Linked DNA regions of Mytilus edulis. The protein of the gene in region 3 purifies or fractionates together with the protein of the main gene of each other region. This does not show direct contact. Links are inferred from orthologs where the notes say so. Each region holds a gene or a part of one and is shown on either strand. Other genes may lie near its edges.

The links.
Region 1: the proteins of serine/threonine-protein phosphatase 2A catalytic subunit beta isoform (region 3) and serine/threonine-protein kinase 3-like purify together in Drosophila melanogaster (affinity purification with western blotting; 3 studies listed by BioGRID, with this or other methods). This does not show direct contact. The link is inferred for Mytilus edulis from reciprocal best matches to the Drosophila melanogaster genes mts and hpo.
Region 2: the proteins of serine/threonine-protein phosphatase 2A catalytic subunit beta isoform (region 3) and immunoglobulin-binding protein 1-like purify together in Drosophila melanogaster (affinity purification with western blotting; 3 studies listed by BioGRID, with this or other methods). This does not show direct contact. The link is inferred for Mytilus edulis from reciprocal best matches to the Drosophila melanogaster genes mts and Tap42.

What each region holds. Positions count from the first base shown.
Region 1 is NC_092355.1:58,086,775-58,094,662, forward strand, and holds the start of serine/threonine-protein kinase 3-like, read right to left. Parts: upstream 3,056-7,888; 5' UTR 2,926-3,055; coding exon 2,912-2,925; intron 1-2,911. Other genes in the region: endoribonuclease LACTB2-like, read left to right, coding at 3,288-3,424, 6,087-6,250, 7,770-7,888. UniProt on the Drosophila melanogaster protein: Plays a key role in the Hippo/SWH (Sav/Wts/Hpo) signaling pathway, a signaling pathway that plays a pivotal role in organ size control and tumor suppression by restricting proliferation and promoting apoptosis.
Region 2 is NC_092345.1:81,758,437-81,765,705, reverse strand, and holds the start of immunoglobulin-binding protein 1-like, read right to left. Parts: upstream 3,002-7,269; 5' UTR 2,960-3,001; coding exon 2,846-2,959; intron 1-2,845. Other genes in the region: protein FMC1 homolog, read left to right, coding at 3,261-3,338.
Region 3 is NC_092352.1:55,731,103-55,738,043, reverse strand, and holds the start of serine/threonine-protein phosphatase 2A catalytic subunit beta isoform, read right to left. Parts: upstream 3,119-6,941; 5' UTR 2,772-3,118; coding exon 2,661-2,771; intron 820-2,660; coding exon 610-819; intron 1-609. Other genes in the region: small ribosomal subunit protein RACK1, read left to right, coding at 3,243-3,351, 6,348-6,519.

The DNA.
Region 1 (7,888 bases), on a different chromosome or scaffold from region 3:
ATCTGTGTCTGTGCAGTGATCGGGAAGGTCGTGCGCCCTGCGCCTATAGCGCATATTGACCAGAAATGGCGCATAGAGTGACAAATGTAAGCGCCCACGTGGCGCACGATATTTTTCACATCGTTTCGAAACGTTTAGATATCGTCAAATGGATTTCCGATCGTTTGCATGCCGCCATGTGTGTGTACACAACTGTATAATGTTCCTCCAATCATAGGAGCACCTATATACATTTTTGGGACGTCTCGGTTGTTTTCCTATGGTAATAGAACCATGAAGTTTAACGTCTCAGGTGTTTTCCTATGGTAATAATAGAACCATGCAGTTTAACTGATATCCCAAAAAACGTAATTAACCATCATTCATGATACAATTTTTTGTAAAGAACTTTAAATTTGTGAAATTTGGCTATTACAGACGAGATTTAACTCTAATGATAATCTTTTAATTTAGTTTAGCTTGCTATTACAAGGCCGTAACTAGGCATCTTATTTTAGTGAGGCAAAATAATTGAGCCGAGCGAAGCGAGGCGTTAAATTTTTTTGGAGGGTATGAATGAATGGTGCAAAATCCTGCGTTCTAGGCATTTTTAGAGAGTTTGATAATGTTTTGAATTTGGACAGTTTTTATATAAATTGTTCATATTTAAAGACTTTTACTAATACCAAATTTTTAACAACTTTATTTGAATTTGTATGTAAGATAATCATCCAAATATCAATTTAAATCTGCCGCCAGAACATAGAACAAACATCGATTCAGTAGAGTTTGCCAATTATTTCTATGGTGGGTTCAGTCAAATTGTTTTAGAATCATAACTTTGGTCTGCTGATATCCTTATCGCGATGAACATGGAGCATGGCAAGACCGCACAACCTCTCGCCACTCATGTATGCTCTTTTCCTAGATTTCAGTCGTTTCAGGGCAGTCTGTGTTTCTAAAGGTAGCACATTATCATCAACACAATGATCAATGTCTTCTTCCAATTCCTTCTCCATCAGCAATTCGGTAGCAGCATCGGTAGTAACAGTTTTGTTTGCAAAAGGGAATTAAGCTTTCCTATAAAGGCTAGCATCATCATACAGTCTCAGTTACAAAATATTAAACTCGCTTGTATGCTGACAAAGAGTAAACAAACTAGGGATAGAATGGGATAAGATACATGTATATGATCTATCTATAGAGTAAGTATATATGATATGGGTACAGGGGAATTAAAATGGAGTTTTGACGTTTACATGTAGGTCCGTAATTTCAAATTATTTCTGGAAATAGTCGGTGGTATTTTAGTTCCAGAATCTATAAATTTAGGGGTTAGGGGTTGGGGGTGTCTGATTCCGAAACCCCGAATATAAAGAAATGAAATTCCGTAGTCCCGAATAAGTAAAGACAAAATCCTGTGATAAAGGTTCTATACCATTCCTCAATAATGTCAAATTGGAATATGGGATGTTCTTTCAATTTTTAAGGTTAAAGAAACATGGATCATGAAAAACTAATCCATGCATGTTTCATATTATTTATATTTTATTTATCTGTAAAGAGAAAGATTAAAGTTGATGAAACGGAGAAATGAATACACAGACAGGACTGCCCCCTTGCGATGCCGACTACTTGATTTGTCAGTCTACTTATCGTTTTTTGATTGTTCTAATGAAGTTATATGCAATACGCAGACTACGTTCACAAACAAATTAGTTTACTAGAATTATTCCTTCTTTACCTTCAGTGTCGCTTTTCCTTTTTCTGCAAGAGCCTGTTTTTAACCAGAGATCCATGATGATTATCGTTACTAGGTTAATGTAATTGAGAAACATCACCCGTTGAGATGCTGAGTTATATCCAGGAAGAATAGTTTAAAGGAATGATGAAAAGTTATAGAAATTAAGGTTGAGACAGAACAACAAAAGACTATTTTATTTGTATATATGTATAAAAAAATTAATCAGTGTCGAAATTTTAGTGAGGCAATTGCCTCACTTGCCTCAAGGGTAGTTACGGCCTTGTATTATTTCGATTGAAAACCCCCGAAGCCTTTTTATGAATATAGTTTTTGTCTCCATAAAAGGCGCTTAACTGTCCTTGCCGTTTTTTGGTCTTTGGCTCGTTTTGACATTTTGTAAACATGACTTCAGCGAATTATTGTTTTGTTCTATCAACTAATGGTACTCTCTACTGTTATTCTTGTCGTCGTGATAAAGTAATAATAATAATACAAGAAGTGCAGAGGAAGTGCCTGAAATGTCTTCTAATACGGAACGCCTGGAATAAGTATGATATCGACGAAGACCCAAATTTATTGTTAAAAAAAACCCAACATAAACATGAACAAGTCAAGGCAACAGTACCAGTTTAAACATTGTAAATAAAGGTTATCTTTAATATTGTCCGTTTTGCAAGAAGTTATTGTATATTCATTAAAATTACAGAATCACAGGAACAATATCCATGATATTATTTAAAATCATAAAGATAAGTTACAACACCTCTTTGGCAAAAAATAATGATACTTTTTATTTTTTTTACAGAGGTCAATTCAAATGGCCCACTCATTTGACAACATGGCCCATTATTTTTTAAAATGGCCCATTGAATTTATTTTTGAGGGGCCCTGGGCCCATAGTGAAAAAAACCTTCCAGATCACTGTCTGTGGACTCACAAGTTTTGAAAATGGTGAGTCCAGACAGATTTTGATAAGTCTAGGACTCATGGGGTCGCCTTAGTGAGAACAATGCTAACTTGAAACTTCTGAAGAAAAAATGTAACAGGATCTGTGTGTGTGTATCTGTTTGAAGTGATTTGTTTTATTTATTTATTTTTTAGTTTGTGACAGCATCATTTTAAGGATGGTTTTATTATCTTCTTCAGAAATCACAGACCTGATGAAGTAAAATTATATATGATACTCACCTTTGATTACTCATTTTAAAGAATAAATTGTCTACTATCCGTCTGGATTCATGGAAAAAAGTTTTAAAGTGAAAACAATGAAAGTTCTGATGTTTTCGTCTTGTCCGGAAGTAAATCAGGAAAGTCGTTCGTGTTCAATGAAAAGCTTTTTCTCTAGCCACAATGTGCCATCTTTCAAACGTTAAATTGATTTTTTAAGTTTCCGACAATATGCCGACCTTGTCTGATTATTTTTCTATTTCCTCAATAAAGATTAATTTTAGTATAGTATTTTTATTTTTAGTTAAACCAGCAAATCATTCAACAAAGCATACATTCTTAACCCAAAATGCCAGGTCACATGACTGTCATGTGATCTAACAAAAAATATAGAAGAATGGCATCTTCAGTGAAATTAGCTCCACTTCCTCAAATAGAAAAACTGTCAGAACGTGTAATCAGAATATTAGGATGCAATGCAAGACCAATGACTTTACAAGGCACAAATTCCTACTTGATTGGTAAAGGTGACAGGTGAAATTTCAATAAAATATTACACTCAGTTTGATGTCAGTGATGATCAAATATTAAAATCATCATCAAAATTATATAATTTATCTAGGCTATACTATAGTACTGAGTATTGGCTTTAGCCTAAAGATGTTCTACATCTGACATCTAGAACATGTTGAAGTTGAGTCTTGGGCTAGCACATGATGATATTTGAACCTAGGTGTGTGAACTCAGAATGTCTCTTTTAATGTACAGTGGCAAATAGTTGTGTGTATATATAGAATGTAGGACAGAAAGTCACAGGACAAAAAGTCACAGACAAATAGTCACAGACAAAAAGTCACGGACAAAAAGTCACAGGACAAAAAGTCAAAATGCATTTTTTCTGATTATTTTCTTTGAATAACATGAATAAAAAAAGCTTATTTTTAACAAAATATTTTTGTATTTTCTTTAACTATTGTATAAAAACCAACTTTGTAAACAAAATTTATCAAAAAAATATCAAAGATGAACAAATAATTGTTAAAAAAACAAAATGTCAAAGTGGCTTGGCACTTCAATGGCTTCATGGTGCCAAGAAATCTTTCTTTTGTATGATTAACATCAAATAAATCTTCATTTTGCAAGTATAATGACACATTCCCTAAACTTTAATATAAATATATGTATTAAAAAGTAAATTTTGCAAGATATTTCTCTTATATATTCAAACAATTGTCAACAGATTATTTGTGACTTTTTGTCCTGTGACTTTTTGTCCTACCAAATTTGTGACTTTTTGTCCTACCAAATTTGTGACTTTTTGTCCTGTGACTTTCTGTCCGTTTACCATATATTCAACCTAAGACTGCTATAAATTAATGTGTTGTAGTAGGCTCAGATTCAACACAAGAAGATATTAGGTAGCAATACACTGTTAGGAGTTTAGTTTGCATTGGCCCTGGTGGATTTTTCAAATAGGAATGTAATTGTGTAATAAAATTCATTTTCAGACAGCTGAGTACTAACTTAGCCTTCAAAGATGGTTTATAAGAGCATTAAAATTATTTTTTACACGTTTAATGGGCTATTTTCTGTATGACAATCCATATTTTCATAGCTTAAGACTGGCCATCGGTTCAGAAACTAATGTAATATTTACAAACATTTTTTTTCTACACGAAGTTTCTGATGCAATTTTACAAAAAAATGAGATGAAAGACATATGATTTTCATTGGATTTACTGAATGATATATGTACACAGTTTAAGAAAAGGTATTACTTTAAGCGATTGAAATTCTACTTTTAGCCAAATTTTGGGGAGATATATATATGTGACATCTTTCCCCCTTTTTGCAATATTTTATAGCAAATAAATGCAGATTGTTGCCATGGATACACCCAAAAGAAATTATATTTTACCATTTTATATTCTGGATATAAAATCTATGAAGGATTCTGACTACATACATGTATGCACATATATAACACAAACAGTTTACAAGCTTATATATACATGTAACTAATTTTGCAAGAAAGCAATGAAAAGGGGATGGTAAAATTTATGAGGGCAAATTTTAGTATTTTTTCCTAACTGTTTATTGCAACCTTAACCCCCCAAAAAACCAAAATGGTTCTATTTAACATGTATATTAATTTATAAAATTTATGCCAATTATAATTATTACCACAGAAGCATTTCCATTCAGGAGGATCATGAAAGGTTATTAAAACAGAAAATAGAATTGATCCTTTTCAGCAAAGCATATATATCAGTAAGGGGACTTACCTAAATGAGTGATTTTCTAAATCACTGATTCAAGTAATATTATTTCCATAAAAGTTGGAAGTGAGAGTTGTCTTTCTCTAATAATCACCTATTTAAGTAGTACAAATTAATTACTAGAAGAAGTGATTTAATTTTATGTACATGTACATGTAGCTTTAAATATACAATACTGATCCAGGGACTAAATATGTTTATAAACTTATCAGAACCAACATCTGCACTGATAGGATGACCAGGTCATGTCAGGTGATGACCTTGTACTGAATCTAGGATAGTGAGATAAAAATGACTTGTTTAAGTATCATATCTCATGCAATTTCCCTCCCAAAATTCACTTCTTGAATAAGTATCACTATTTTGATGACCCCCACTAATTCATATTGTTGCATTTACACATGAACCATTCAACCTAAGCTTTTCAAATTTTAATATGTTGATACTGATGACAGAATTGAGGTCAAATTTGACATTGACGATTTTCACTTTCACCGTTCATCAGTTATGGTTCTTGTGATATTGCCAGGACACAAAATTAAATGTTAATAAATCCGGTTTGCTGTCGTTGTGACAGCCTCTAAGTCTTGTTTCAACTAAAATAGAATTTGCAGCTAAATGACAGCATCAAAGGCATAACCTTACTACTAAAAAGAAGCAAAAAGTTTTTTTTTTTCATTTTACTAATGAAAAGATATTATTTAAACCTATGTGTTAATTTTTTTTTACTAAAACTACAAAATCACGTTTTGTGACAAAACTTCGAATTTGCTACTCAAATAAGTGATTTAAAAATCACTTATTTCAATAAGTCCCCTGACTGTATATGTTGATCTTTATATTATATCTTTGTAATATTTTTGTCTCGTTTACATATCCCTCATCACATACATTTGATTTTATATATATAATTTTAGGAGAATATTGTTGGATACCACAGACACAGGAACACCTGATTACATCAAGAATTTACAGAATGTCCTATCACAACACAAATGTGGCATACAGGAAATAATTATAACTCATTGGCATGCTGACCATTGTGGTAGTGTTCCTGATGTATGTAACCAAGTCACAAAATGTAATTATTATACAAATGTTATATTTAATCTCTAAAAAAAGAAAATAATAAATATATAATACATGCCTTCTGAAGAGGTGGATTTAGAGGGTTTTCAGGTGGCAGCACCTTTTTCTGAGGCGAAAATTTGGTTATTTATATAGGGAATCACTGAATCATGACTGGAGCGCAACCTTACCTCTTTTATGAACATTTCTGGATCAGTTACGGTTCTGGGAAAGTGAAAAAAACAAGAACGATTTGAAGCAAGTAAGGATATCAAAGTAAAAATTAACTAGGTTAATTTACAGCTACAACAATGTACTAGTTGTCAGTCAGGATTAATCTTTGTTCAAATGTTTTTTGATTTACTGTTACATGCAGATACATTATTTTGGAGGTGTAGAGTTATATCCCTTTAAAAGACATAAAGATTTTATTTTTAACCAAAATGTAAATAAGAATGTCTTATTTTGACTACATTGCTCTAGTATACAGTCAGTGTATAATTGTCATTGCTATTTATAAAATGTATAATTCCATCAACCATGTTAACAATAAAAATGTCATATTAGTAGGTCATTTAAAAAAAAAAAAAACTCTTTTACATGCCTTTAGCAAGCAATTTTCAAGACTTTGCACAATTAATTATTATCTACATGTTTAATAGCTTTCCTTGCTGAGTTTTTGAGATAAAGGTGGATATTAAGGTGTTGTAAAAACAAATAACTTGTATATATAAGTTAATTTTGGTGGAGATCAAAGGAGATTATTCAAAGCTTGAAAATAAAATCATATCGTAGTTTACTTATGTAAGAGAAGGTCCGAGACCACAATTGTCGTCCTTTGATTTTCGTTGTTCACGAATATAGTCCCTAGTGTTGACAGTGGGTTACTTGCCAATGTTTTTTATACCCCTTCCAAATTTATTTCTCCATGTTTTATGCCTCAAATTGCAAGTAGGGAGGTGAAATTACACTGTAAAAAAATTTGGGTCCAGAATTTTAAAGGAAAGTAGTGATTTGGTCCAGCTGAAAAAGGTTAAAAATTAGCACTTTGGAAGCTGTCAAAAGATTTCAAGACGCCCTAAATATAAAATTGTCCATATTTTGAGTTAGAGCTGATGAAGTTTTCTATAATTTTGATATAATTTGTCCCAAAAGTAGTACAACACACTGTAAAAATTTAATTGAGAAAGCGCAGGTGGGATTTTTTATATTTCATTTATGTTCTAAAAGAAATGCACTACGAAATAATTGTGGTCTCTGACCAGAACATTACTTGTATCTTTAAGTAAATAAATATGTATAGGTATTTTGGAAAAGATGTTACAAAGTTGAAAAACGTGTGTCTAATCCATTTGTCCATTTTGAACAATATGAAATATGTTTAGACTAAACCAAACATTACCCCTGATTGACTACACTATACATGATCTTGTCCTTGAATGCATGCAATATTTACAGCAGGACTTGAAACACCACTCCATCCATCCACCCTATTATTGAGTAATATGTGTCTTTTTATTTTATATTCACAGCTCAAGAGACCATTGTATCAAAATTCCAAAGATTATCTCAACAGGATCTAGACATCTCTCCAGCAAAGTATACATTTGTGGAAAACAACACAGTGTTTAAAACAGAGGGGGCTACTTTA
Region 2 (7,269 bases), on a different chromosome or scaffold from region 3:
TTGCCCATCGGATGTTCTGAAAATTAATGACGCGTGACAACATCATCGGATTAGCCAGATTTATTACCTTTGTACATTTAATCGATCTTGATTGCACCTGTGTGCTTTAAAATACGTTATTTAAATGTCCTTTCATTGTCAGATAAAAGTGTGACATTTCTATTTAAAATAAGATTATTATTCTTGTATGTATATGCCCATGTCATTGTCATATGACATACAGCGTACAGACGTATAAAAATACGAATAAAACGCTTATTTTGTATTTCCATTATAGTCCGATCAGGTCATAATTTTTGGGTTTTTTTTCAACAAAGACGATTTTACCACAATTAGAACCTTTTATGACCTACTCAGTGAGCAATATTGGGTTCATTAATAGTTCAATATTATAAAATTAATATCAACTGGCTTAAAACAAAATGATGTTTTTAAGGTAATTTGTCCAATCTAAATTAAACCCAAGAGTTAATTTATCGGATCAACAAGCATGCCAAGTGAACTCTGTTACTTTCAATTTATTTTGAAATGTAAAATATTATGTTTCACTACCTCGGTAGAATAAAATTTCCGACTTGAAATATTTGAATTTTAAAAAGAAACTGTAAAGTGACAAATAGTTTTGTATGCAATGTGGCAGCCCTATATTCATAAATACTGAGAAGACACAACACAATTATCACAACCTTATTTAATTATATGGAGAAAAGAAATCATGTGTTTTTAATCTGTTATTGATCTTTAATTATTTAAAATAAAATTGGATTGGCGCAATCCGTAGTTTACTGCTCGTTAAAACTCCTCGACGAAATATAAAAAGAAGTAGTTCAACAATTTATACAATAGAATATTAAAATGAAATTATATCGTGTTCTACAAGAAAAAAATATGTAAAAAAAAAATTAGATCAGATTTTAACGATCGACAAATTTTCACAGAGGTCTCTGCCAACGCCCATCATGAACATGCATCCTGTTTTCATATACCATTAATATATAGTGTTGACTATAGACGTATAAATAATGTCCGGTTTTATGTCCTCTGTTGACTGAGAAACATAAAAATAAAAGGCTGATGTTGGTTTATTCAGAAAAGGAATATAATTTAGAATCCGGTTAATCAATTGTAAAAGGACCGTCTAGAGCCTCAATCTTAACGCACACAAATTTATGTCAATCATTACAAAGCAAGTTTAAACCTTGAATGAATTTTCCCACGGTTATCCAGAAAGGTCACCTGAGTTAACTGTTACATGATACTATTTCCCGCCAAATAAAAATCTCGTGGACAAAATTGATGTCACTATTTTTAGCATTCAATATTGTGAGCGAAGTCAAGTTCAACCACGCACTGTTGATCACTGAGTTGCGTATCGTCTTCCCACAGCAATTTATTGGTTTAGAAATATTTAAATACAACACAAAAGTTTACATTCATTGTGCGTAAATGAATATTATGCAACGACGAGTTGATGCAGCTATAGAAGTATTCCTGTTGTAGCCGAAATGTATTATTTATTCTTAAGTAATGCTAACAAATCGTGAAGAGAAAATGCCGTAGACTTATTAAGCATAGCGAATTGTGAATAGTATTTTCTTTTTTTCTTGTATATACAAGTTTAAAGACACGTAATTTTCTTTCTTTCTCACATTTTATAACTTCTGCGTTAATTTCCATCTATTTTCGCAAGTTATATAAATTACCGATAAAAACAACGAGATCATAATCAAGTATAGATTTTTTTTTATAAAACTTTACTGCAATTGAAAGCATTAACAACAATCTTTTGCTTTTTAAAACTTTTATTTTGTAATCGTAAAATGGAAATGAAAACTTATTAGCATAACAGATAGTGAATAATATTTTCTTTTTTACTTGTATAAAAAACTTTGAGACGTGTAATTTTTCTTTAAACTGTCCTAATTTATTCAACGTTAGTTTCCGTTTATTGTTACACAATTATATCTCTTTTAGTAAATTAAATATTTATTTACTGATAAAAAACGGAAGTCAAAATCAAATATAGTTTTTTTTTAACTTGATTTAAATGTACAGTGTAATTGAAAGAATTAACAACAACGTTTTGATTTTGATTTTAATCTTTCATTTGTTTCAAGCAATCAGATATAACCTGATAATCAATAGAGTGACTAGACAGGAAATACAATTGTTTAATTACATTAGAAATCTCGCATACCTTGACTGTCGAGTGCCGGCATAGATCAGAAGGATTAGGGCAATTAATTACCTGGTGTGACACCGCGTCACTCCAGACTGGGAGAGATGTCGCTAATACAATAAACAAAAGGTAACGGATTTACACGGAAGTCAGAGGGAATACTCCCAAATTTCTCCGACAATTTAGGGAGTGATGTCGGAGTTTCCTGGTGTCACACCAGCAAAAAACTCGGTGTTTGGAGTTTGGGATGGCTTTCGCGAAAATTGAACTGTATAAGCCGGTATCATATGACTGACAAATAAAATGTAGTCGTCACTTTTATTTATTATTGCAAGCTATTGTAGAAATATTTTCAAGGCTGATGCACGTGCTTTTAACCACTTGGTTTTAATATATTCCGATAATCATATTTGTTTACCAAAATTCAAGTGTACGCCCGGGCGTTTTGACGTAAACGTAGCTACGCGCCTGGACGTCTTGGAAGGCTATTTTAAATTTTTGCTCCTGCGACGTAAGGTGTCAAAGAAAAAAAAATATAATAGCCTTTCAACTATTCAATATGTCATAATTAAAAATTTTGGACTTAATTTCCAGTGAATGTACAAAAAATTATAAATGTATATATTGAAAAGCCCCCTGGACTTTTTTGTAAATCAATTTATGTACTTGATAGTCCTGAGATGAAGTTGAATCATTTGTATTTTCTGTGAAGATATACGTTGTCCATAAATCTTGGTACAACTCCGAAAGAGTTGGTGTTTTGTCTCCAGCTTCAGCCATATCTCACACCGATATCGTTATCAGAGAAACGTTTTACCGATTTACTATAAAATCACATTCGGTACAGATAAGACTAATTTCTGGATCATAGATGTGTAATGATTAATCAAAATTTGCAAATAAACAAGCTTTTATAAGAAAGAAATTGTATCAGTTTCAATCAGCTGTTATATACAAGCGAATAAAACTGCATTTTTATTCTGTATTTACTTTACAGCACTGTTAGACACAACGCCCTTGGAATCAGCATTTGTGTCTAAAATTAGAATGACCTAAGCGCCAAATAACGTTGACTTTGTTTATGAAAATGACAAGTCCCACTGCCACTGCTCAGTTATTCCGCAGTCTATTGAAAGAACTACGCTTTATTAATTCAAAGGTTGGCTGCACGTTTGTACTGTTGCCAATATTTATTTCATGTCTAGTTTGCATTAGATAATAGATATAGGAAGATGTGGTGTGAGTGCCAATGAGACAACTCTCCATCCAAACAACAATTCAAAAATTAAACCATTATAGGTTAAAGTACGGCCTTCAACACGGAGCCTTGGCTCACACCGAACAACAAGCTATAAAGGGCCCCAAAATAACTAGTGTAAAACCATTCAAACGGGAAAACCAACGGTCTAATCTATATAAACAAAACGAGAAACGAGAAACACGTATATATTACATAAACAAACGACAACTACTGTACATCAGATTCCTGACTTAGGACAGGTGCAAACATTTGCAGCGGGATTAAACGTTTTAATGGGCCCAAACCTTCTCCCTTTTTCTGAAACAATAGCATAACATCACAACATATAAAAACATACGATAAAATATCAATTGGCAGACTTAACTCAATCAAAAAACGTATGATTACACAATGAACGAATAAATTTGATCTGCGATATCTGAATACAAATGCACAGTTAATTAAATATTAGAGACAGATAACTCTGTTTCTCAGCCTCAATAAGTATAACTGAGACCCTCATGTCATGGGGGTGCCCAAGTAATCACATAATCACATTTTTGTTCATGTTGTTTGTCAAAATAATCGTATAATAATTAATTATTATTTTAAAGATAGTAATCAAAAATACAGTCCTAGATTATTAAAAAACAAATAATCATGTAATATTTGGTTTGGTAATCAAATAATCACAAAAAACAGTGCAGTAATCACATAATCGATTACCCCATGAGGATGCTCATAACTATAAACGATTATATGGTCAATATATTTGGTGTATGGAAGGATTGTAAGATGTACATGATCTACATATAAAAAAAGATGTGGTATGATTGCCAATAGGATAACTCTCCAAAAGAGACCACAATGACACATACATTAACAACTACATGTATAGGTCACTGTACAGCCTTCAACAATGAGCAAAGCACATACCACATCTAGTCAGCTATGAAAGGCCCGGAAATGATAATGTGAAACAATTCAAAGGTGAAAAACTAACTACATGAATTGTCTGTTGGACATGGGTCATGTGACCTTGACCTCATTTTCATTCTTCTTCTTCTTATGATATCCAGTTATCCATCAGATTTTTGATGATTACTAAATGCTTTCTTAATGAACTGTTACACAAGCATTACAAGAAGTCACTTGAAAGTAACATAGTTTATTTAAGTTGTCTTGTGAATATGGTGTATTGCAGTCATTTTACGATATTTGAGATTTAGAGCTCTTTAAAAAGACCATAGACATGGGAATGGTCAAAGACCTTCGTATCACTGTATGCAGCTGCAAAAAGGCTAGCTTTTCACTCGCAAACAAAAGGTGTAAATGAAAACGATCGTGCACAAATTTCTTGCAAATGCAAAAAAAACTATGATACCGTTTGTACATGTACATGCAAGAATTTAACTATAGCGATGAAAACTAACTATGACATCAATACTTAATTTTTTCGTAGTTTTTGGATTATAAAATTAATAAATTGTCATGTAACCATCACTTTTTTTTAGATAAAGTTTTTGTACTACTAAAACGTTTATAATGTTATCTGAAAAAAAATACCTATATAGTCCGGCCTGTTAATAACCAAACGAGTATTATACTCATCTGGTCCGACCAAACGCGTACGGGCGGACCATACGCATATGGTTGGACTATACATGTACGAGTATACCATTTGGTGAATTATTTCATTATATATTCATTACACAAAAATATTAGTTTTTAGCTCACCTGGCCTAAAAGGCCATGTGAGCTTTTCTTATCACTTGGCGTCCGTCGTCGTCGACGTCGTCGTCGTCGTCGTCGTCGTCGTCGTCTGTCGTCGTTAACAATTTTTCAAACATCTTCTCCTCTGAAACTACTGAATGGATTTGAATGAAACTTAGCATGATTGTTCCTTAGAGTATCCTGCACAAAGTGTGCGCTTCGATTTTTGATCCGTCAAAAAACATGGCCGCCGTTACCTAAAATAGAACATAGGAGTCAAATGCAGTTTTTGGCTTATATCTCGAAAACGAAAGCATTTAGAGCAAATCTGACATGGGGTAAAAATGTTCATTAGGTCAAGATCTATCAGCCCTGAAATTTTCAGATGAATCAAACAAACCATTGTTGGGTTGCTGCCACTTAATTGGTAATTTTAAGGAAATTTTGCAGTTTTTGGTCATTATCTTGAATATTATTATAGATAAAGATAAACTGTAAACAGCAAAAATGATCAGCAAAGTAAGATCTACAAATAAGTTAATATGACCAAAATTGTCAATTGACCCCTTAAGGGGTTATTGTCCTTTAATGGCAATTTTTCACAATTTGTTCATCAAATTTGCTAACTTTAAAAAATCTTCTCCTCTGAAACTACTGAATGGATTTGAATGAAACTTAGCATGATTGTTCCTTAGAGTATCCTGCACTAAGTGTGTGCTTCGATTTTTGATCCGTCAAAAAACATGGCCGCCGTTACCTAAAATAGAACATAGGGGTCAAATGCAGTTTTTGGCTTATATCTCGAAAACGAAAGCATTTAGAGCAAATCTGACATGGGGTAAAAATGTTCATTAGGTCAAGATCTATCAGCCCTGAAATTTTCAGATGAATCAAACAAACCATTGTTGGGTTGCTGCCACTTAATTGGTAATTTTAAGGAAATTTTGCAGTTTTTGGTCATTATCTTGAATATTATTATAGATAAAGATAAACTGTAAACAGCAAAAACGATCAGCAAAGTAAGATCTACAAATAAGTTAATATGACCAAAATTGTCAATTGACCCCTTAAGGGGTTATTGTCCTTTAATGGCAATTTTTCACAATTTGTTCATCATATTTGCTAACTTTAAAAAATCTTCTCCTCTGAAACTACTGAATGGATTTGGATGAAACTTAGCATGATTGTTCTTTAGATTATCCTGCACAAAGTGTGTGCTTAGATTTTTGATCCGTCAAAAAACATGGCCACCGTTACTTAAAATAGAACATAGGGGTCAAATGCAGTTTTTGGCTTATATCTCAAAAACGAAAGCATTTAGAGCAAATCTGACATGGGGTAAAAATGTTCATTAGGTCAAGATCTATCAGCCCTGAAATTTTCAGATGAATCAAACAAACCATTGTTGGGTTGCTGCCACTTAATTGGTAATTTTAAGGAAATTTTGCAGTTTTTGGTCATTATCTTGAATATTATTATAGATAAAGATAAACTGTAAACAGCAAAAATGATCAGCAAAGTAAGATCTACAAATAAGTCAAATTGACAAAAATTGTCAATTGACCTCTTAAGGAGTTATTGCCCTTTAAAAACTTTTTTCACAATTTGTTCATCATGTTGACTTACTTTAAAAAATCTTCTCCTTTGAAACTGCTGTATCAATTTCAGCCAAACTTAGGCTAAATGAGTTTCAGAGTTTCAGAGTATCTAGTATAAATTTTATATTTCATTTCCTTGTATGTCAAGAAACATAGCTCCTATGGCTAAAATAGAACATAGGAGAAATTGATTTTTTTTTTTGGCTTTTGAAGAGAATAGGACGATTTCAAGAACATTTAAATAAATTGAAAAGCCAAAATAATCATTGATGAGAGATTAAACCAAAAAAATTCAGGTGAGCGATTCAGGCTCTTGAGAGCCTCTTGTTTACAACAATGTCATGAACAGGATGAATGTGTCAAAAGTAAATGTACGTTATTTGTTCATAACATGTTTGATTGATATTTTTTCAATAAAGACAAAAAAATAAAATGACTTACAAGAACATGAAGAAACGTGATAAAATTCAGCTGAAAAAGTTTTTTTTATTTGTTATGACTTTTTGTCCAAATACAGGTCATGACCTGCATGTATAATT
Region 3 (6,941 bases):
TTCTTTACTCTTTATATTCAAATTACTACTTCTTGACTTAAATCATAGAAACTTGATAAATGTGAACCTGTCACTTTATTTAATTTCTACAATTAACTATACCATGTATACTGGCTATCAGTAAGGATTAATTGGATAATTTTTAGTGAAAGTCTCATAAATTGCAAAGCACATGGAGTAGACATTGCTTTTTAAATCATAGAGGATGCAAGTTTTATGAATGAAAGATAATCAAATAAATATTTTCCAACTGTTCATTTTGAATCAAGCTGCACTTTTTAATTGTTGCTTTTAACATTAGCCAAAATGTAGTTTTGTTTAGGCCACAATTAAAAATATTTTGGTTTGCCCAAACCCTACCCAAAGGTTGAGACAGTGGGTAGGTAGGTAGGCATTTTCTTTTTTTTTTTCAAAAAGAGAAATTGAAGTATCGGGTGTTTATTAGTCTTTATGCCTATCTGATAAAAAAAAAAACTTCTTCAAATTAGGACAATAAAAGAATTTGAGTAGGCAACTTTTTTCTGGGTAGGTAGCGTTTGGGCAAACAAATCTATTCTTTTTTATGGCCTTAACAAAGACAAAATGTGTAAATAAATGTACTATACATACTTTCAAAGCTACTAAAAGTGTTACTGTTTCTACTGAGTAATATCCTCTGTCTACATAGTCTCCCATGAACAAGTAGTTAGTGTCTGGTGATTTTCCACCAATTCTGAACAATTCCATCAAGTCATGGAACTGGCCATGGACATCCCCGCACACAGTAACTGGACATTTAACTTCCTGAACATTTGATTCCTTGGACAATATTTCTTTAGCCTGAAAAAAATTAATTGTTTATTAGTATTAAATAAATTAAAGAGTGCCTCAAAATGCATTTTTATTTAAAATTCACATTATAAGCCTCATTTGTTTCAGGTTAAAGAAGTCCCAGCATTTAATATAAATGCATGTCAATAGCCAGAAAATAAGAACTGAACAGTGAATATCATAATCAAACAATTAATCATACATTAGGAGAATAAATACAAGTCCTACAAAACTGAGGTGTTGTATATACATGATATAGCTCATCAGTTCAATTATAAGACCAAACAAAATAAAATAGTGTATGTATATTAACTGTCACCTGCTTAAAACAGGGACTTATGCAAGAGATCAAATTACAATTAACTACATGTATTATATATTTTCTGTTAGCTGCCATTTGCTGAAGTTGTTTCTGATATATGTTTTAACATGGTTTTACACAACATTTATTGATGATTTTTGGTTGCAAACAAGAATGTGTCCAAAGTACACGAATGCCCCACTCGCATTATCATTTTCTATGTTCAATGGACCGTGAAATCGGGTAAAAAATCTAATTTGGCCTTAGAAGTAAATTGATCAACCAAAAGGGAACATGTGTACTAAGTTTCAAGTTGATTGGACTTTAATTTCATTGAAAACTACCTTGACCAAAAACTTTAACCTGAAACTCACACTTTTAATTTCTATGTTCAGTGGACCATGAAAATGGAGTCAAAAGATTAATTTTTTTTTTTTAAATAAGAAAGATCATATCATAAGGAACATGTGTACAAAGTTTCAAGTTGATTACACTTTAGCTTCTTCAAAAACTACCTTGACCAAAAACTTTAACCTGAAATGGGACAGACGGACGAACAGACGGAAGGACGCACAGACCAGAAAAAATAATGCCCCTCTACTATCGTAGGTGGGGCATAAAAAAGAACATATATAGCTGTCAAGAATAATACTTCTGAAAATATTTTCATTACTACATCTTCTTTACTATTCATGCTATTTGGCATAATTTCCAAGCTTAAAAGTTATCCAAAGCTAGAATGAACATTTTCTGTGTGTGACAACACACAACTGAACACTACCTTATAAGAAGAGTTAATAAGCCTGATCAGTGCTACATAAATGCTCCATCAACTTTTATCTTTGAAGCCTGCAGCAGGATTATGTTTTCAGATGTCAACAACCTAGAACATCCTTCGCTGCCCTTTTGACATATCTTTAAATGAAATTCTTGTGCGTTTGATTTAAAAACTGAAAACTTAGATTTTAAATTGGGGAAAGGAGGTTAGTGTTTGTGTTTAAGTTTCTTTAATCAAATACACTGCTTGAGGTATTTACAATTAGTTACATCTATAATACCAATGATTCATTCTCAAAGCTGGGGATAAAACATGTAAAAATATCCTTGAATTTCATTTAATGTGATGAACACAACATTTTAGTTCAATTGGTCCATCTTACTGTAACTTGTGTAAGTCAAATAGTGTATTTAACAAGACTTGAGGTATACTTCTTGTGCTACCAGAGTTATCAATAAATGGTTTGTGGCATGTTGACTAAAACACATTCAGGATGCTGGATTGAAACCTTTGAAAACCTTTTAACTGTGCTAGGCTGTTTTATGAAATGTGATTAGATACGATATCAGTACACCTGAGCAAAGAAAACTTTGGTTGCCATATACAATTTTACGAAAAATTGGTTTCGTAAAAATGTGTTGCCATGCGAGTTTGATGCAACAGTTATACAGTCATTTATAGGCCGACACATGCTTTATGCAGTTATGACATTAAAGTCACTATGTCTGTAAGTATTTTTAAAGGGAAAACAGTTGATGAAAGTGTATATACCTTTTCACACAATGTTTTGACTTGATTTTCGGTCAGTTGTTTGCAATCATAAAGTTGTTCAATCCATGTATCGAGTTCTTTTGCTGTTGCATGATCGTCAACGTAACTCATTTTGAAAAGATATGTTTACATGTATTAAACTTGACAAATGTATACAAAAATGCGTTATTTATCTCTTATTTGGTGTTATTTTCAAGTCTCAGCACATCGAGGCGCCGACAAAATGGCTGTGTCTTCCTTCTCGAGTGACGTCACTTTCATAAATAATTGTTAACGAATGAAAATTTTTATTTATATAAGATAAATAAAAATGACGAATTACTAAATTAAGAACTAATCGTGATGTTAATCATTATTTATCTTAAATGATTCAAAATTTTAATGCAAATATAAACTGGATTCTGAGTCACTCTGCTGGTGTCCTTATTCCGTTTGGTGACATCTATCGGAATTTTTCTAAACCAAGCGAGTTAACTACAGACTTCCTTTTCCGGTTTGCCCGTCTTAGTTCATGGCGAACTAAATAAGTTATATCGAATCTGCGCCAATCATAGTTGAATTTTCATTAAAAACAAGAAAACGATGGCGGAGCAAATGACGCTTAGAGGGACCCTCCAAGGGCATGGAGGATGGGTGACACAGATTGCCACAACTCCCCAATATCCTGATATGGTGTTGTCATCTTCTCGGGGTAAAATATTCTGAATAGATCTCATTTTTTGTATAACCTGCATGTTTTGCACATATTATCAATGTATTCGATCTTCAAGACGATGCACATACTCTATCTTTTTATTGCAACGTTGTCTTTTTTGTCATACTGTGTAAATTTGTTTACATGTACATTTTTCATCTTCAATGTTGAAATGCCGGTAGACCTATTGGCAGAAGATCGAATTAAAAGCCGCAGTTTGGAGAGAATATCATTTCTGATTGCAATCTGCATTTAAGTAAAGTTCGTAGGCGCTTTTTCTCAAGTGGAACATTCGAAAATACAGGGACTGAGCATGAACATGTACAGTCATGACAGTATGGTATATTCATCAATGGGCTGATGGATCATAGTATAATGTAGATGTACAATTGTTCCCTAGAACGGAATCTGTGACATATGATCAATTCATACAGAACATGTAAATATACCAGCTGTCTGCACCAAAATCGTTATTTATCACTAGTTCAAGAATATTAGAAAAAAATGTATGTGTCGTAACAATGTTTTGCAAACATGTACTACTCTGGTGCAAATATAGTCCTAATAATTGTGACGTCTTGAAATTTTATTTATTGAAGACATGTTTTTTGGTAAGACTGTGTGATGGAATTTCTCTCAAACTTTAGACCCAAGTTAACAATAAAACGCTTCTACAGTGGTGTCTGCATGGCCAGTGATACTGTGCATTATCTGATTTCGTCATATCAACAAAGTAACACAAATAAAATCGTTCTTGTTATTGTTTTAGCCTTCAGAAGGGATTAAAAAAAAAATTATAAGTTCAAGAGGTTAATAACTGCAAACCCGTGATTTACAATATTTGACTAATTTCCATTAAAAAAAATTACATCATCAGATAAAATTTGTTTTATTTAAGTCAAAATTTTATTAGTTTGAAATAATTTTTGCTCTGCATCCTTGGAAGTGTGTTTGGTTCAAATTCAGCTATATTTTGGAGTAGAAAGTCTTTCCTTTATTCAAAATAACATATTTTTGGAAGGCATGTGCGAAATCCCCAGACATTGGAGGAAATCTCAGAACAGGGGTTTCCCTAATTTTGGACACGCATTACACAAAATCTTGGGTGAAACCATACAAACAGAAGATTTTATAAAATAAAAGTATGTTATGAATGTGTTCACCCAATATTATCCATTTATTGGTTTTATCAGTTGAATGAAATGAAGTCATAAGTCTTAGGTGCATGGATACACCGGACTGCGCCGTAAGCTAATTTCCCTATGTATATAATTAGAAGAGTACTATAAAATATTTATTTGCACCAAACTCAGAATAATATATGACGCACAATCTTTTCGGGATGTTTGATTTATATTTAAATTCATGTCCATCAAAATTTAGAGTTTGGAAAACAAATATATTATTTTATACTCCTAAAATGAATTTCAAAGTGTCTATATAGAAGAAATCAGTAAAACGTTTTTAAAAGTCTTACTAAAAAAAATAAGTTGGGCATATATGACATCCCATGCCAGAAAGGCTACAAAGCAAAAAATAAAATATATTTCAAGACATCATAATTATTTTGACTAATGGTGAAGACTGCACTACAGGTATAAAGTGTCAATATAAACAATTTTGTAATAAAAAGGAAAAGTATTGAAATTAGTTTATAATTAATTAGGTCAGTATGTCTGATTATTTTTTATGCCCCACCTACGATAGTAGAGGGGCATTATGTTTTCTGATCTGTGCGTCCGTTCGTCTGTCTGTTCGTTCGTTCGTCCGTCTGTCCCGCTTCAGGTTAAAGTTTTTGGTCAAGGTAGTTTTTGATGAAGTTGAAGTCCAATCAACTTGAAACTTAGTATACATGTGCCCTATGATATGATCTTTCTAATTTAAATGCCCAATTATAGTTTTGGCCCCAATTTTACGGTTCACTGAACATAGAAAATGATAGTGCAAATTTCAGGTTAAAGTTTTTGGTCAAGGTAGTTTTTGATGAAGTTGAAGTCCAATCGTTAAAGTTTTTGGTCAAGGTAGTTTTTGATGAAGTTGAAGTCCAATAGTTGAAGTCCAATCAACTTGAAACTTAGTATACATGTGCCCTATGATATGATCTTTCTAATTTAAATGCCAAATTATAGTTTTGACCCCAATTTTATGGTTCACTGAACATAGAAAATGATAGTGCAAATTTCAGGTTAAAGTTTTTGGTCAAGGTAGTTTTTGATAAAGTAGAAGTCCACAATCAACTTGAAACTTAGTATACATGTTCCCTTTGATTAGATCATTCTAATTTTAATGCCAAATTAGAGAATTTATTCCAATTTCACGGTCCACTAAGGCCAAAAAAAAAAGATATGTGTTTCCGGTAACATCATTTTAAAAAATAGGGTAGGTAGGTCGGAATTCTTTTTTTTTTTCTTTTTTTTTTTTTTTTTGACATCGTAAATGAAATCCGGAAAATTATCATGTTTTTTTCCAAGTTCGGATCCGTAATTAGTTTCAAAAACCGGAAGTGTGCCATTTGCAATGTTTTTGAAGCACCTGCTGTGCAAATTTCTTGGATTTTAACCTATTTGGAATACCTTTTGACATTAATAAAATGTTTTACTGGCTTTCTATGACTGGCTTTCTATGCAAGAGGAAGCAAGAGAGAAAAAATATTATGTCATCTATCAGAAGCCTGTGTCAAAAACAGGGTCGGTTGATAAATTTTTTTTTTTTTTTTTGGAAGATCCAATAAAAAAGTTAGGGTCGGGGCTAAAAAACAGGGTCGGTCGGGTTACCGGAAACACTGATCTTTTTTTTCTCGGCCTAAACATAGAAAATGATAGTGCGAGTGGGGCATCCGTGTACTGTGGACACATTCTTGTTTATTATTTATTTGAGAATAGAACTGTGAACGTTTGTATAAAGGTTGACAACAAATTATAGGGCAGGATATATGTATTATATATGTAGCCAGTCATTGTCTTCTTTTGAATTTCAACAATTCTTATTTTCAGACAAGACCTTGATTATGTGGAAATTGACCAGAGACGAGACAAATTATGGTTTACCACTCAGATGTTTAAGAGGTCATGGTCACTTTGTATCAGATGTAGTCATGTCATCTGATGGCCAGTTTGCTTTGTCTGGATCATGGGACAAGACTCTACGTTTGTGGGATCTTGGAGCGTAAGGCTTTTTGATTATCTGATTAAATGTTCTTTCAAAGTTTTCATAAAATTGACTTGACAAAGCTTAAGTAGTACAATAAGAAACTAAATGAACAAAAATGCCATAAATGTCAAATTACCTCTAATGCATAACATCTTTTACTGCATCTACTGTAAATTCAGAAACTATTGGTGCATTTATTATTGCGTTTTTGTTATTTTAGACTTAAAATGCGATTTTAATTTTTAAGGTTTTGAGAAAAATTCGGTTTAATTCATATCAAATATTTCAAATGCGAGTTAAAATTATTGCGTTTAAAATGTGTTGCATTTTCCCCATTATTAAAAACCTTGCATTAATTTCTGAATTGGAAACTTTTTTTGTGTGTGTAGTGTGAACACATTGTTAATATTTGAGTTTGATATCATTCCCATACTACA